Drosophila melanogaster: one gene and its partner. The protein of the gene in region 1 purifies or fractionates together with the protein of each later gene. This does not show direct contact. Each region holds a gene or a part of one and is shown on either strand. Other genes may lie near its edges.

Region 1 (8,743 bases):
ACTGGCTCCACGCCTCGTGATCCGTGATCTCGTACTCCCACGCAGTCGGAGCGCCTTCTTTGATCGCTTGTTGCCACTTTAATCTTTAATTCGCCGCACTGTTCCGATTTCCGCTCCTGGGAACTGTTGATCTTAAGTAACAAAACCGAAACCGAATCTCAATCCGAATCAGAATCTGAATCTAAATCTCAAGTGGGAGCTCTTTTCGTGCGACCGTTGCGCTGCAGCCCCCAAGAGAGAGTGACACACTGAACGCCACGGACTCGGACTGCAGGGCTCGAGCTCCAATGCTCCCGTTCTCCCGCCGCTCTCTCGCCACAGTGGGCAAGGTGGTGGATTTTTCGAACATAATATTAATTATAAAATATTCAAAATAATCACACAGCATATAATAGTTTGTTACATAACTATTTTAAGTTATAAACATATATTTCTGTTATATTTAAATAGTATTGTTTATACTCGACTGTTTAAGTGCTATATCAGCGATTTGTACCACTGTGCCGTGCTCCACTTGCTCCCGCTCCCACTCACCGTGTGTGCCGTGCCAAAACGGAGATCTCCACCTCCCGTCTCGCTCGCTCTCCCTTTCTACTACTACGATGCCGCGCCCCTTTGTTTTCATTCAAAATTTCATTAAAGGATGCACACATGCACACCTCCCCTCCCCCACACACACACACAAACGCACTGGTCTGTTGATTTGCATGCACCAATTACTTTATTTTCGTGATTACACATTTACACTGTGATTACAACGGGAACCTGGAAACAGATTAGGTTCTGATCGTTCGCATCCTTGGATTCCCACAACATGCTACCTTTCATCTGGAACACAGAGAGAAATATATTATATATATATAAAATATATAATTAAGAATATGTACGAATGAATATTAATGGTGATTTGTAGAGTTTATTGTAAGGGTTCTTTACTTACCACCGGCAAAGTTTCGTTCACAAAGATATTGGCCCAATAGGCCTTTCCACCACTTGCGCTCTCTATGCATCCGTGATCTCCGTCGCAGGGATCGGGAGTTATGGCCGCCTGGGTCTTGATGTAGTTAAACACCCATCGGACTTCGTGCTTCAGAAAGCTGACGCCATTGCCTGTTAATGGGATAAAATAATAAGTTTTACTATAACATAAAACAATTATACTATTACTATCATTTTGGCTTGGCTGTACGTTTTTTATCAAAGCTGAAACTCTAATCCAATTATCTGAACATGTTTTGCATGCTCTCTTTAATCGAATTTTTGGCCAATCTTCGTTTCAGCCCCCTATCGCAAATTAGTACTCCAAATGTTCGATTCGTGCTGAGATCAATCGTTTCGATTTCGTCTCCATTTCTGCTGATTCATCAAAATACCATTAGGCGTTTAATTTATTATTTATGGATCGACTGTGGGGCTGAGCCTAGGTTGCAATCGAAATGCATTGAACATAAACAGTAGTAGTAGTAGCAGCAGGAAATTCGGTGAGTTTTTGTAGATATACAATCTTCACCAGCTTATCATTATTGCCACCATCATTTGACCATGCATATTCAGGGAATTCAGGGGGTTCCAAAACACCTTGCCCCACCCGAACATCCGCCATTCACCTGATCGAAGTTCTTCGCCCGCACCACATCTATTTTTATTTCCGACTGACTTTTGCTCAGAACGCGAGTCGAGTGTACGTTGCTCTGAGAAATCCCAATTCCGAATGCACGGATCTGCTGTTATCAGCGGAGCACCTACATACCATTATCATCGAAGCGCACAGTAACCTTAATTGTCGCGTTCCGGGCCATGGAGCAGGGCAGTGTCGTACAGCTCTCGATGTCCAGGTAGCTGACCTGGTACAAAGAACCTAAAAGAGGCAATGGAAACAGATTTAAAAGGCACATAAAACCAGAAGATATGGATCTTTTAGCTTTAGATCTTATGCTAACAACATGCTAAAATAGTTCGTAGTTATTCCTTTAAACATAATAAGGATACGATCCATAGAGTAGGTAAGGTTGGGCATTCTATCCTGAATGGATTTGGTTACGTGACATAGTACATGCCATTCAACCATATAATTAACACCTGGCAACAAAGTAAAAAACTTTACTCTCAGCAACTAAGCCGAATTATCTGCGATCCACACAGGCGATCGCCTATACATACTATATACGCATTTCTAAATAATCTATGACCAAGTGCACTTCCCAAGGCCGTTAAAAAGTTTCTATCTTCAAAAAATGAACCGCGTTCAGCATTAGATTACAACACTCAATTAACTTGGCTGCTCATTGATTACTGCCCCCCCAAAGTGGGCGTTCGCCTGTCTATCAGCGTCATAAGGTAATCCCCCATAAGGGCGTCATATCTGTTTGTTTACAGTTCCTCAAATCTAGAACATAAATCATGTATTTACTGTGCACAGTCCATAAATACTCCATTTAATCAGACATCGTAAAAACCAGAATACAATTAATAGCTCGTGTTTTGGGCAACCAAAACTAGTTAACGAAGGTTTGATGCCCTAAAATCAACTAAGCTGGGTAATTAAAAGTAGTTAAAAATAGGATTTCTTTTTCCTTGACTGCAAAATGAACAGCGTCAATCTAATTTTATATTCTGTTGATAATGAAAAATTGAAAACAAGTAACTATATTCGGGTTTTTTGTTGATGTCATTGGAATATCACGTTTATTACGCCCACAGATCTTACCCACTTTCAAATTAAGCTCTGATAGTATTTTTCGATTATGGTAATGTATCATAAATTAGATTTATCATGTCACAAGTATAAAGTGAAGTTAAAGGCGCTACTATCGGGGAATTACTCTTTATGACTATTATATATATTCGTTACTCATAGAGTAATAGGGTATACTATATTCGTTTTTTGATATTTCCATACGTAGTTCTTAAAATCCTATAACCATAAATTTATATTTAATCTCGAAATTGATTGAATTGCAAGATTGCAAGATTCAATCCTTTGCTCGGACTGCCTTAAGGTGACTAAGGGGTATCTGATGGTCGAGGAACTCTGTTATATCGTTTTCTCTTTTGTCAGATTGCGCCCTGTGAAATTTACAATATACTTGGCAGCGATATAATCTGAATTACAGTGCACAATATTGGATCCATTAAAATTCCCGAAAATGGGTGTTGCGGAAGTAATTCCTTATTATTGTATTATTATAGTATTATTCGGTAGGTCGATTTTCCACCGGAAGATAATATTTTAGTAGAATGATTTCTAATTCTAATATTTTTTCGAATATAAAGCTTTTGAGGTTTCTTTTCGAATGCATACCTTAACAAAGCCATGGTGTATAAGAAAACTGCTCGAGATATTTTCTTACCGTTTTTTTCCCCTGTGGAAATCAATTGATTTTATACGTTGTCTGAATCGACCCACCGAAAAGCACTGATCCTGAGATATACTTACCGCAATCCTCGAAGGGCAAAGATCTTAGGGACAGATATTTTTTGTAAACAGCATCTCTGGTAGACTTGATCGTTCCGCCGGCCAATTCGTGGGCAGCGCAAATAACCAAGAGTATTTTTAGATAGTAATCCATTAGGGCGCCGCGCATGGTTTAATCGACTGAGATCTTGATCGCGGTTTGATTAGAATATCGTCCAAACGAATTTTGCGTAGGTGTGCAAATAAGAAATGTTAATAACAATAACAAAGCAGTTCGTTAATCAGGATCACGGGCTGGCAACGTTTTTTTTTGGCGATACGATTTGCTTGGTGGCTATTAGGTGACTGACACCAAGAATAGTGGGTACCAACAAAAGTAGCCGGCCTCTCTTCGATTGGAGTGCTGGCACTCTCCGGGCAAACGTAAATAAATAAATAATTCGCGGACGCCTAGGCAATAAACTTTGATTTATTGACTGGAAGCCGATGGGAGCAAATAACGCTGACTTTCGCTTCAGCTCCAACTGATAAGGTCAGCGAATCTCTTTGAAGATTTCCAAACGGGAAGTCCGTGACGTAGCTGGAGGCGTGTGTGGGTCTGAGAGTGGGTGGTTGGGCGGCGGGCACGCGTGTGAGTCGCGCCTATAAATACACGAAAGTAAATCAAGTAACGCGGGCGATGTATTGATAAAAGTAACCAGCCACTTGACTTTAATTGAAAGTTAAAGAACATGGCAAGCCATAATTAAACATCATTAGATAATGTCCCCTTTAATAAATCAATTTAATCCGTAGACAGCGAAGGTGGAAAATTTTGGAATGTGAATCATTCTGGACGTCGAACTCCTCACTCAATAATACCCTTCAGATAGTTGGTGTTCTTGATGATCCTGAAATCAGTGCGCAGCTGAATGAATTGCCGCACCACCGACTTGTCCAGATAATTCTAAATAGAGTGGGGTGGATACAGATGGTAACGTAAGACTATCGCTCGACATCAAAGGCACCGCACACTTACCAGAGTGTCACCCGTGCAAACTTCTTGAAGGTTTTGGGGCTTAACAAGTAGTAAATTGCACAATGCATGCAGTATGTCAAACAGCTGCGTGACCAGTGGACTATCCAGCTCGCGAATGCACTTGCGATACTCGTTCACGTCGCAGATGGCACACATGGCGCCAGCCGTGTTGAACTGCATGGTCTGCAGGTGATCGTAGATTACTCGGTGCAACCGAGTTCCAAATTCTGTAAGAACATTCTGCAAATTCTCTCCATCAACACATTTTTTAATCTGCACAATCACGGGCTGCAGATTCTGAACGACTTGTAAGCAGGCCTAGAAAAGAAAAATAAACATTTTTAAGGATAGACAGATAAGCTCGATTTTACTAAATTTATATCTTACCGCTGAAGATATTGTATCCACATCTGTTTCCGGCTTGTAGTCCGTTTTCTTTTGTTCATATTGCAAATATACCTTGACCCAGCCAATAACAGCGCTAATAGAGCGATCAAGACCCTGGTCCAGCTTTGTCTCGATTTGCTCCATCAGAATACGTTTTTTGAACACATAGTCCGAGTACTTGGGTGTATTACTAGAAAAGAATACATTATACATTCTATAAAATGTAAATTAACAAAGTCCTAACATACCTCACACAGGGTATGACAGATGTGTGGCACAGCTTGTCCAGTAGATGGACAATGATGTTCGTCTTTTGCACCACATCAAAGAAGTAGAGCTGGGGAAAGACCCTGCCCTCGGCCAGTGGCACTGCTTGCAGTCCCAACTCCAGTGCGTAATCTACGTGCTCGTGCATCAAGAAACGAAGAAGGATATCGTTTAGCTTTATAGCATTGCCTGGTAGTTCGGTCTCGTTGGACAGCAGGCGACAGCGCTTAAGCGACGCCTTGGCCTCCTGCAGCATGTTGATGGCCAACTCTTCGGATAGGAACGTCTCCCCGCCATAGTCCTCGATGGCAGCAATATTTATGTTAGCCCGCGTGGCTATCAGCACCTCCATGTTTCTCCGAAAGCCCTTAGTAGTTGCAGTCTTTTGGTGTTTCTTGCTGGCATAGAACTTTTCCAGCTCTGTGGAACACTTGGCTGTGAGGCATTTGGTCTCCATTTCGGCGTAGCCGGCCAAATGCTTTATAAAAATCTGCTGTGTCAGCTTCTGTAACAAGTCGTCGTCGATCGTGGACATGTAGATTTGAAGATCTGTTGACAATTTTAGTGTGCTGCAAAGTGGTTGTGAAATGAAAGTAATCGCAAATTTTGACATTTAACGTAACTTCTGAATGACTCACCGCGAGTATAACTCATAAAGGGTGCGAAGATATTTCTCCTCGTCTTTTTTGTCCTCCAACTTAGTCATGGCGTACTGGTGAAGCTTCAGTTGATATATGTTAAGTATGAACTTGGACATAACCTGCTGCGGATTGGCAAACACCTTCTGGATTATCTCGTAGTGATGCTTGCATAGCGGTACAATGCCTATAAATATGTCTTTGCCACTGTACGGTTGCATTTGGCTCTGCTCGATGTATGCGTCTACACACTGAGTGTAACCCTTGAACTGGGACAAGATCTGGGCCAGTGTCTTCATGCGCTCGATGTCCTCGCTCTTCTGGGCGGTGGCAAACTCTTCGATCAACCGCCGCTCGACTTCATCGTATTTCTTTTCGATTTTTCTTTTGGATTCCGCAAAGTTTCCGGGCGGCAGATCCTGCGAGATAGCGTAGAGCTTTTGTATCACATCTGCGGCCTCACTTAATCTTGCGGCATCCGCAAAAATATCGTTGACAATCACAGGGCCAGCGGCTAAAAACTCGGACATAAAATTGAGTAACTTCTGGGCCTCCACTGAACGACTGCGTGGAGTGTTCACATTCTCCAACTGTTCGCCCAGGTGCATGATCTTGCCGGCCACCGAATTGATTTTTTCGTCCAGCTGGCCGAACACATCAATGGCCGTTTGGTGGCGTTCTTGGAGCTTGGCAATCTTTTTGGCGTGCGACTCCTTCTCCTGGCGCAGTGACTCCTCTAGCCGTTCGCACTTGCTTTGTTGCTTCTCCTGCAGGATCTTTAGGTCCTTAATGGTCTGGATGAAGGTATCGTGGAGGGCCACAGGATGAAAGTCCTCGCTGTTCTGGAGTTCATTGTTGGTGCGCCAAGTCAGACGCTCTATGAACTCGCCCACCTCAAAGGGTTCCTGTTGGTTATGATTAATAAATATAAGCCATAATCGGGCCTACGTGACCTTTGAGCCCACCTGTTCAAACTCCTCCATGTATTGGGATAGCATTTTAATGTATTATTAAGTTTTCGTATTTAAATGATCTGATTTAATAGGCGTTTCTTTTCTGCTTCTTCTTTCTATATTATTGTTGCTTCCGCTCAGCTGTTTCGTTTAAGGTTGCCACACTTCTCACTTTCTTTCAGCTGGCAATGTCGCTCGGTTTGTTTACGTTTTTGTTTGCTCTCTTAGCTAAAATTTAAATGTTTGGCGGTTGTTATATAACAAATAGTATGTTTACAATTAAATAAAATAAAACAATGCTTTTATGTTTGCTGATCTTAATCAAATGTTTATTATAATATGAATGCGCGTCTTACTTATTGCCTCGTATCAAAACCACTTTTTTACAACAAATTGCAATGTGCTAAACAAGTTAAAATTTCAAACATTAATATTTTTTATAACCTTTATAATTATTGCGTGGAGTCAGCGATTTATTAAACCTTAGTTACAGTTTTGAACTGAATATGAAAATATGAAGAACCAATAACTTTTTTTTGTAAATTTTCTGTGCGGGTTTTCCCAATAGACATTTGTTTAGCGAAGGAAAGCTAGTTCTTATTTGTTTTTACAAACTGCGTCTGCTGCTACTACTGCAGTTGATCCTGTTGCTGTTGCTGCAGGTGCAGGTGCGGATGCGGATGTGGGTGGGTGAGCGTGTGACCGATGCCGCCGGAGGTCGACGGCAAGTCCAAGGCGTGCGGCACGATGTTGATGGCACTGGCGGTGCTTGCCGAGGAGGCCAGATCCACGGCCGGCGGACGCACTTCGTCCTCGAACTGAGCGCCACCGGCCATGCTGTTCAGCACATCCGGAATAGTGGGCGTGTCCACTAGCTGGTGCAGGTTCTTCAGCTCCGTGGAGCGTAGGCTGGCGGATAAGCTCTCGCTCGAGGCCAGCGACGTGGATAGCGGTGAGTTGCGTTCAATGGATGAAGCTATGTCTGTGGGAGAATGCAATAGTAAGTATTCTTTAGCTGCGAAGCAGCTCTTGCACTCACCAGTTCTGTCCGTGTCCGGGGAACAGGTGTTATGACCTGTTGTTCCTTGCGGCTGCTGCATCATCATCATCAGCTTCTCCTCCATCTGCATAATTATCTTCTTTTGCACGTCATACTTCTTGTTCACGGACTGCAAGGACGACGATTTTTAAGGCTTATTACTCTTAATTGAAATGAAGTTACTGGTAAACACAGACTATTTCTTAAAAGTCCGAACTATTTCAGATAAGTATACGATTTTAAATATCAGCCCTACCTTAAACTTTTCTTCGTACTCATCCTTGACGGTGCTTAGAAGTCGCTTTTGCTCCGTCATGGCCTTCTCGCTGTTGGCTAGCTGGGCCTGCAGGTCGCTGATCTTGTGCTTCATGCTTTCCAGCTGTGATGTCTTCTCGTCCAGGCTGTGCCTCAGATCTTAATAAATAAACTGAATGATTAAACATCCGTATCATATAAACAATGAATAGGCACCCTTCAGTTCCAGGTTGCTGCTCTCTTGTAGCATCTGCAGTTCCTCGTCGCGGGCCCTGAAGTTATCGATCTCAGCCAGACGGTCGCGGCAACGCACTTGCACCTCACCCATGATAATAAACTCGGCCTCCAGTCGTGCCAGCTCCTGCTTGCACTGCAGCCCAATGTCCGCCTGCTGCTGGGTGTGTTGAAGCTCGGTTCCCAAACTGAAGACCTGACCTCGCAGAGACTCCAGTTCATAGTTCATCTCCTTGTGGCGCGCCAACTCGCTGGTGAGTCGCGTCTGCAGGTCATCGTTTGCCTGCCGCAGGCACTTCTTTTCCTCCAGTTCGTGCTGGTACTTAGCCCTCATTTCGCCCAGCTCCTCCTGGTGGATGTTCTGGCGCTCGTTGGCCAACCGAATGGCCTGATCCATTTTGTTTGCCAGATCCTTGTTCTTCGCATCGAAGTTCTTAAGCTGCTCCCTTAACCGATCCCGCTCCATTTCCAGGCTGCGCTTGTCCCTGCTTCGCCCCATGAGTCGTCGATTGCGCTCTGCGTGAATGGATCGACGGT
Region 2 (6,970 bases), on another chromosome or scaffold:
ATCAACTCCCAAATATCTTTTAGGAGCATTCTACAATCTGATTTTTGTAATCATCCAGCAAACGTTTCCAAAACTCAATTTTTTTTTAATACGTATTAAGCCAAAAGTCGTATACATAACTATTTAAAGCAATTCTGCAGCTGCAGCAAAGATAATCTATTTAAGAGTAAAGCATTAGTCAAAACTAAAGATTATTTTCGTTCAACGAACAGCGAATTATAGATTGCTTTGCCCAAAATGTGGATGCTGTGAGCTAAAAAAAACCTTTTTTTTTAATAGGCTAAGACATTTTTTTGAATAGGCTAAGACTTTTTTTGAGCATGAATTTTTTTGAGCACGTGAACCTAGGATTAAGAACAACAATTCAAGTAAGCCATATATACCCATATTATATATGCGAACATATAACTATTAAAATATTCAAATAAAAATGAGCATTGCTACTACAGAAAAATGCGCGATTTTCTTTGGGTTTCAAAACCGTTTTCGAACCGTAACACTCTTTGCCTCATGCAAGCTGCTAGTTCATGATTTCTAGAACATCGTTCCTGGGAGTGGAGTGAGTTCCATGAGTGCCTACAATGTGCTGGCCGCTTCCGCTCACTTAAGTCACTCAATCTCAATTCCGAGTTTAATCAGCAGCTCCGCGAGCAGAGTCGCCCTTAGATAAGCGGATCGCCGCCTGCGGCTCATCATTATCTTTTGATTAACGCGCCAGTCGACAGTGCGTGTTTGTTCCGAGTAGAGAACGGAGGCTGGCGCGTTTTCTTCCATTTTCCAACTGATAAGCAGAAGCTCCAGCTAATCCCCGAAAGATGAAGCCGTTGATAGTGGTCGTGCTCGTGGGCCTGATGGCAAGTGGCTGCCACATTGTTCACTCCCAGGAGCCTGGCGATGGTAAGACGAATTCCAGTCTGAGCTCTACCGGAACTAAGCCACTCATTAATGACCTTTGAGCAGCTGTGGAGCAGGAAGCCAGCGAGTCGGATGACGCACTTAAGATCAAAGAGAGTCAGGCCAGCATAGCCGCCCAGGTGGAGGCCATGCTCGTGCACTTTCAGCAGGAGGATCCGCAGGGTCTGCCCGGCGTGCCCGTGCCCGATCCGTTGGAGGTGCCCAATGTGAAGAAGAGCATGGGCATGGCCAATCTGGACATGAAGCAGGTCAAGGCGTATGGCTTGTCCAAGTTCCGCATTGATAAAATGAACCTAGACCTGAAGGAAATGAGAGTAAGTTTTCAAGTTGAATTCGAATTGGCTTGAAGTTTCCACTCCTCTGTCCTGCAGTTCAACGGTGGCCTCCAGCTGGACCAGATGCTGGTCAAGGGCCAGTACACCCTCAGTTCATTCTTTTCGAAAGCCAATGGACCCTTTACAGTAGTCCTGAAGAATGTCTATGCCGAGGCAACCGCCTTCTTGGCCGTCGAACGAGACGGTCAGCTGGCCACGGACCGCATCAAGATCGACATCACATTCTCGGACATGACAATGGACTTCCAGAACCTCGGCCTGGTGGGCAGTGTCTTTCAGAGCGTGGTGAACGGTGCGCCCAACTTGGTCTTCGACGCCATGAAGCCATTTATGCTCCAGGAGGCGGACAAAAAGCTGCGCAGCGAGATCAACGTAATGATCCAGAAAACCTTGGGCGAACGCCGACTGCCCAATTCCATAACGCCGCTGGACAGCGCCATTGCCATGGCACGCAAGATGGTTCGGCAGAAGGGCTTCGATCCGTACCACCTGCCTGATGTCAATCGCACCATGGGCGTGTTCAGTGTCCAGTTAGCACACACCTGGATCAATGGAATCTCTAGCTTCTACCGCGTGGGCAACATAACCGCTGGCATGGCCAACAAAACGGTGTCGGTCGTTCTGCAAATAGGCACCCAGCAGGTGACGGGAGCCGGCCAGTGGGAGGTGGGTGTGGGCATGATGACACGCGTCGGTCACGTACAATTTACGGTTCAGCACATACGCGCCACCGTTGGCCTGAGCCAATCCCTGGACACACGCAAGCGGGCGCAGATCACCGATCTGCAGTTTGACATGGGCAACATACAGGTGCGATGTGACGGAGCGGGAACGCTGGACTACGTCATGGAGTTTGCGGTGAACGTCATTCCCAACCTGCTGCGCTACCAGATCATGGACGCCATCGAGAACCCCATCAAGCAGCGTGTGCAGGAGAAGTTCAACACCATCGATGTGGAGCAGGTCATCAAGACCATGGCTCAGAACAACTTCAACTTTGACCCAAAGCTGTTGGGCTTGTGAGTCGTGGTAGTAAGTAAGAGAGTTATGCAATCGAATAAAGATTTATCCCTAGAACATGGGTAATCACAAGCTACTTAAAGTATACGCTATCTACATGGGCTGCGCCCTGCAGTGGAATGTGCCTAGGGGTCCTTGACACTGAAGCAGAGCAGCTGCAGACGCATGTTCCGCTTGACCCGCTCCAGAATCTCGTCCGCCTTACGCTTCTGCTCGCCACTCAGGGGCGGATTGATGGCCTCCAGCGCTTCCATGAAGTAGTTCCTTTTGCAGATTAGAAGAATTATTGAAATTCATAGGTATTTCATTTAGATCACTCACTTGGCAGTCTCATTGACGTAACCTTCCAGGGAGTCCCTCAATAGACGGATATCCACGTGGGCCTGAATCGCTCCCGTGAAGCTAAAGCGCTGGACACAGCTCATCAGACGGGCCAGCTCTTCGGATATGGTTTGCACAATGGACTCCAGGATGGGTCGCAGCAGTGCCGGTGAAATGCTGTAGATCTCGGAGTAGACACCAACCAAATTATCGCAGCACTCGTGAGCGTAAGGACGCAGCTGGCCGATCTCCATCTCGTGATCCCACTGGAAACGACCCAGATACATGGAGGGCTCGATGGTGCCGACCAGCGGATCGCCCTTATGCTCGACGTACTCCTCCAGAAGATTGGTAAAGAGCTGGTTAACCGTGTAGCGAGCAGTTTCGATTGCCAGCGTGGGCAGCGGGTAACCGTAGCGAACGAAGATGTCACCAAGGCGCGGGAAGAAGATCTTGTTGCAGTACGCATAGTTGGCCAGGCAACAGAGCATGCGCTGCTCCCAGGTCACAGCCGCTGCTCCGCCGCTTCCAGCCACCGAATCTGGCTGCTGGGCATTGGGGAATCCAAGTAGCTGCGACACATTGTGGGTGGGCGTCTCCTCGTCGTGGGAGTGGAAGGCCAGCTCCTCGATCACCGCGCTAAACGCGGATAGGAATTCTTGTAGTCGCTGTGTCACCTCTCTCTGTCCATCCGACTGCGGCTCGAGGAGATTGCCCTCCCGGGTCTCCCTTTGCATGCACACAGATTGCACCTCGTCCAGCGTTTCGATGAGCAATGTTTCCAAGGCGGCGGGTAACAATGTGGCACCTGGATATTCCTCCACGCCCAGTTCCCAGGTCTCCTGGCTGCCCAGCTTTTTGCACCGATCCGTGGCCCGTTTGAAGATAATTGAGAAGCAGAAAAGTCGCACCTCATCGATCAGTTTCTGTATGATGTCCAGCGCTTCCGAGGGCAGATCCAGGCTGATGAGCGTGGCATAGGCTATCCTCGTGAAACGCAGGCACTGCGGAATCCAGGGTAGAAACTGATGTGTTGCCGATGCGGAGCCGATGGGCCAAGCCAAGCCGCTGGACTGACGCAGGGCGCGCTGATCCGTGGCAATGAGAATGGCCAACCTCAAGTAGACACAGAACTTCTCGATGGCGTTCAAAACCATTCGCTTGAAATCCCCTGGCTTGGGATCATGAGGTCCGCGTAGCTCGCCGGTGAAGTATAGCTGGCCCAGACGCCACAAGTCCGGCAGCTGGGAGGCGGCAATGTCGCACAGTTCTTCGCAGAAGTTAACCCGATTGGGCGCCTGGCTGGAATCCCTGTTCTTTGCCTTTTCCTGGGCACCCGAATCCTTGCTGGTGTGCTGATCAAATGTCTGGCGAAATGTCCACTCCAGATATTTGGCTCTGGCCTCGATGGCATCCCAGGCGGGATCGATGTTGCGCAGTTTATCGCCAATGGGAGTTCCGCTCTGCTGCAGTTCCAGACTGATCAGCGCCTTGATGAGCTTCTTCTGTTGCTCCACGCTCTGTGGCATCTTGACCACCTTCTCGTGCAGTTGTTTCCTTATTGACAGAATCCTGTGGTCGACCTCCTCGAGCACCTTGCGGAAAATGGGAATCTCCGTCTTGCCAAAGAGGTTCTTGGCGCGCGAGTAGTCGTTAACCACAATGTCATATTCACCCGCCTTGGCACGTCTGTCCACCGAATTGGGCAGACAGAAGAGGAACTTGTGCCGCGACAGGGCGAACAGAACGGACCGCGTGGAATCCGCCTTCTCTTTGCGCACCAGCACATCCGTGAATATCTTTTGCGATTCGCTAATGGAGTCTATAAGTCGAACAATTTTAGAATTAAATATCTTAATCTATAAACCCCACTCACTCTCTATGGATGTTTCCAAGATATTTAGGGTCTCATTGCCGTGTAGCTTGACATCCTCCTGCAGCTTGTCTCGGATGTTCATCAGCGTATCGAGCTGGTCAATCACCGAGCCTGCATTGGACTTGAGGAAGGACAACTGACCTTCCTTCTGGCTCTCCACTTTCCGCTTCAAGTAGGACAGGCCCGCCTTGAGATCCTCGAAGGAGGTGGCCAGGTGATTTTCAAGCAGGAACCAGGCCGGGGAGAAGTGCTCCTGCGACAGATCCCCGCAGGCTTCGGGAAAGAGATCGCGGAGGTCCTCGGGGATCTTCTGCTCGTTACCCTCGATGGACAGCCCAAGTGGATCCTCCTGCGTCAGTCCGGATTGGGCTAGGGTGCGCCGACCCCAGGCAAAATTCTGCGAGGGCGACTCCTCGATCCACACGGCGGACTCCTTGAGCGGGCCAATGGTCTCGTGGTATGCACGAAACTGAACCGTGGACGTGCCCACTCCGCCGCTTAAAGTGGTCACTATGATATCGCCTTTTCCCTTCGCCGGACCAGTGCGTGCGATGATTTTATTGGGTGATTTCCACTCCGCCGACAGCAGACAATCTGAACCGCAGATTTTTAGACCTTACATTTTTTTTTTTTGGAAGGGAAAGTCATCAGAAAACAGAAGCTATTTGGGACAGGCTACGCCTACCAATTAGATCTTGCACTCGGGTGCCCAGGAACTCGCCGCGAATGATAACGCGGGTGCCAGGAGGACCCTCCTTCGGAGATAGCCCCGTAACCACTGGCTGCGGCGCCATCGTATGCTATATGATGCGGAAAAACTGATCAAAATGCAATAAAAACAATAGAGAACAGAACTTTATTGATGCTGCCAGTGATGGAAAACGTCCCGTCAGTGGTGAAATCTTGGCTAAGTAATCGCCAAGCTAAACAGACAGATATTTAATATAAAACTTATGTAAGAAACGGACGAGCATAAAAAGAGCTTAAAATGTATTAAATCTAAAATTAAAGATTACTTAACATATGATACCATTCAAATAAAGGCAACTTATATCAATCAAGAGTTTTAGTTCTAGCTAAGTCTCCTTGCTGAGCAGCACTGGAAGGCGCAGACCGGTCATCTCTGAACAGCTGATTGATTGTTTCCAAATCCGCCGCAGAAAAATGGATGACGTCGAACGAATTCAGAGCGAGAATGAGAATTTGCGCAAGATTCGCAATCGCCTGATGCAATGGGAGTCCAAAACGGACCCGCTGGCGGCTCTGAGTATCCAGCAAGAGGAGCACCTGGACGTCCTGACCAATCTGTGGCGCGACAGCGGACCATCGGTGAGTCGACTCCTCCTCGAATGGCAATCGTATAATTGCAACCCGACTCTTTGTAGGCACCGGCACCGACTACGCCCACCCAGGTGGGTCCTACCGATTCATCGGCAGCTGCAACTTCGCAAAGCGGCGATGACATCAGACTACCTGCGGAGGGACTCCAGAACACCAATGAGTTTCTGCTTTGGTTCGCGGACGTCAGCGCCGAGATCGAGCAACGTGGCGATGCCGACTACCACAAATACCTGCAGCAGCTGGAGCAGCGCAAAGCGGAGTGCTCCCACATGCTGGACCAGATCGCTGGGGCCATGGAGCGCCTGGGTGCCCTCTGCGACGAGTACGACTTTGTGTCGCAAAAGACCAGCGCTCTGAACACGGCCAGCGAGCAGTTGATCGAGGAGCAGGAGCGACTGCAGGAGCTGAGTCACGAGATTCAACGCCGTCTGCACTACTTCAGCCAGGTGGAGTTGCTCAACCAACGACTTCAGAGCCCCACGCTTTCGGTGGCTAGCGAAGCGTTCCGGGAGTGCCTCAACAAGATCGACGAATGCCTAAACTACATCGAGGAGAATGTGAGCTTGTCTGTTACACTTCGGTCATGTATATACTAATATCCTTCATTGTCACAGCCCAAATTCAAGGATGCGGCCGCCTACAATGTGAAGTACAGGCAGTGCCTGGCCAAAGCCTCGGGTCTGGTGCGTAACTATGTGACGAGTGTGATAAACCAGGCAACCGAGGCCACGCTCCATCCCAAGAACAATATGCCGGATGCCTCCGCTGCTCTCAAGGCACCAGATGCCGCATTCGCTCTGTACTACGGCAAATATCAAACGGCCGCGGCAAAAGTGAAGCGGGTCGCCCAGTTGATTGAGTCCCGGTCGGAACACAGCCTCGACTACGCCCAACTAATGGCGGATCTTCAACAGCACTACTTGGCGCAAAGAGCCAGCGTTATGTCGCCAGCAGTGAATCTGTCCATACAAAACGTTAAGGTGGCCCACAAAGGGGATCACTGCTCTCTCACCCGAAGCGCCTGCGCCTTTTTGGTGCATGTTTGCCAGGACGAACAGCGTTTGTTCTACCAGTTCTTCAGCACAGGAGCGCCACACCTGACGTAATACTCGTACATCTAGTTGGAAAATAGGATTGATCTCATTTTTCCCACAGGGTTTAT

What was found. Proteins that work in one complex are often made in the same cells at the same time.
Region 2: the proteins of Sec10 (region 1) and Sec5 purify together in Drosophila melanogaster (affinity purification with western blotting, with the first as the bait; one study listed by BioGRID). This does not show direct contact.

What each region holds. Positions count from the first base shown.
Region 1 is NT_033777.3:24,132,894-24,141,636, reverse strand, and holds Sec10 (secretory 10), read right to left. Parts: upstream 6,807-8,743; 5' UTR 6,724-6,806; coding exon 6,691-6,723; intron 6,631-6,690; coding exon 5,726-6,630; intron 5,657-5,725; coding exon 5,069-5,656; intron 5,011-5,068; coding exon 4,821-5,010; intron 4,752-4,820; coding exon 4,434-4,751; intron 4,362-4,433; coding exon 4,263-4,361; 3' UTR 4,099-4,262; downstream 1-4,098. Other genes in the region: Npc2f (Niemann-Pick type C-2f), read right to left, coding at 742-828, 941-1,110, 1,751-1,858, 3,437-3,584; Tsc1, read right to left, coding at 7,308-7,660, 7,718-7,847, 7,974-8,131, 8,189-8,743. UniProt on the Drosophila melanogaster protein: Component of the exocyst complex involved in the docking of exocytic vesicles with fusion sites on the plasma membrane.
Region 2 is NT_033779.5:3,455,697-3,462,666, reverse strand, and holds Sec5 (secretory 5), read right to left. Parts: upstream 5,366-6,970; 5' UTR 5,262-5,365; coding exon 5,153-5,261; intron 5,083-5,152; coding exon 4,468-5,082; intron 4,414-4,467; coding exon 2,592-4,413; intron 2,535-2,591; coding exon 2,396-2,534; 3' UTR 2,300-2,395; downstream 1-2,299. Other genes in the region: CG3246 (uncharacterized protein), read left to right, coding at 816-897, 961-1,229, 1,287-2,273; Cog3 (component of oligomeric golgi complex 3), read left to right, coding at 5,632-5,796, 5,853-6,365, 6,423-6,910, 6,964-6,970. UniProt on the Drosophila melanogaster protein: Component of the exocyst complex involved in the docking of exocytic vesicles with fusion sites on the plasma membrane.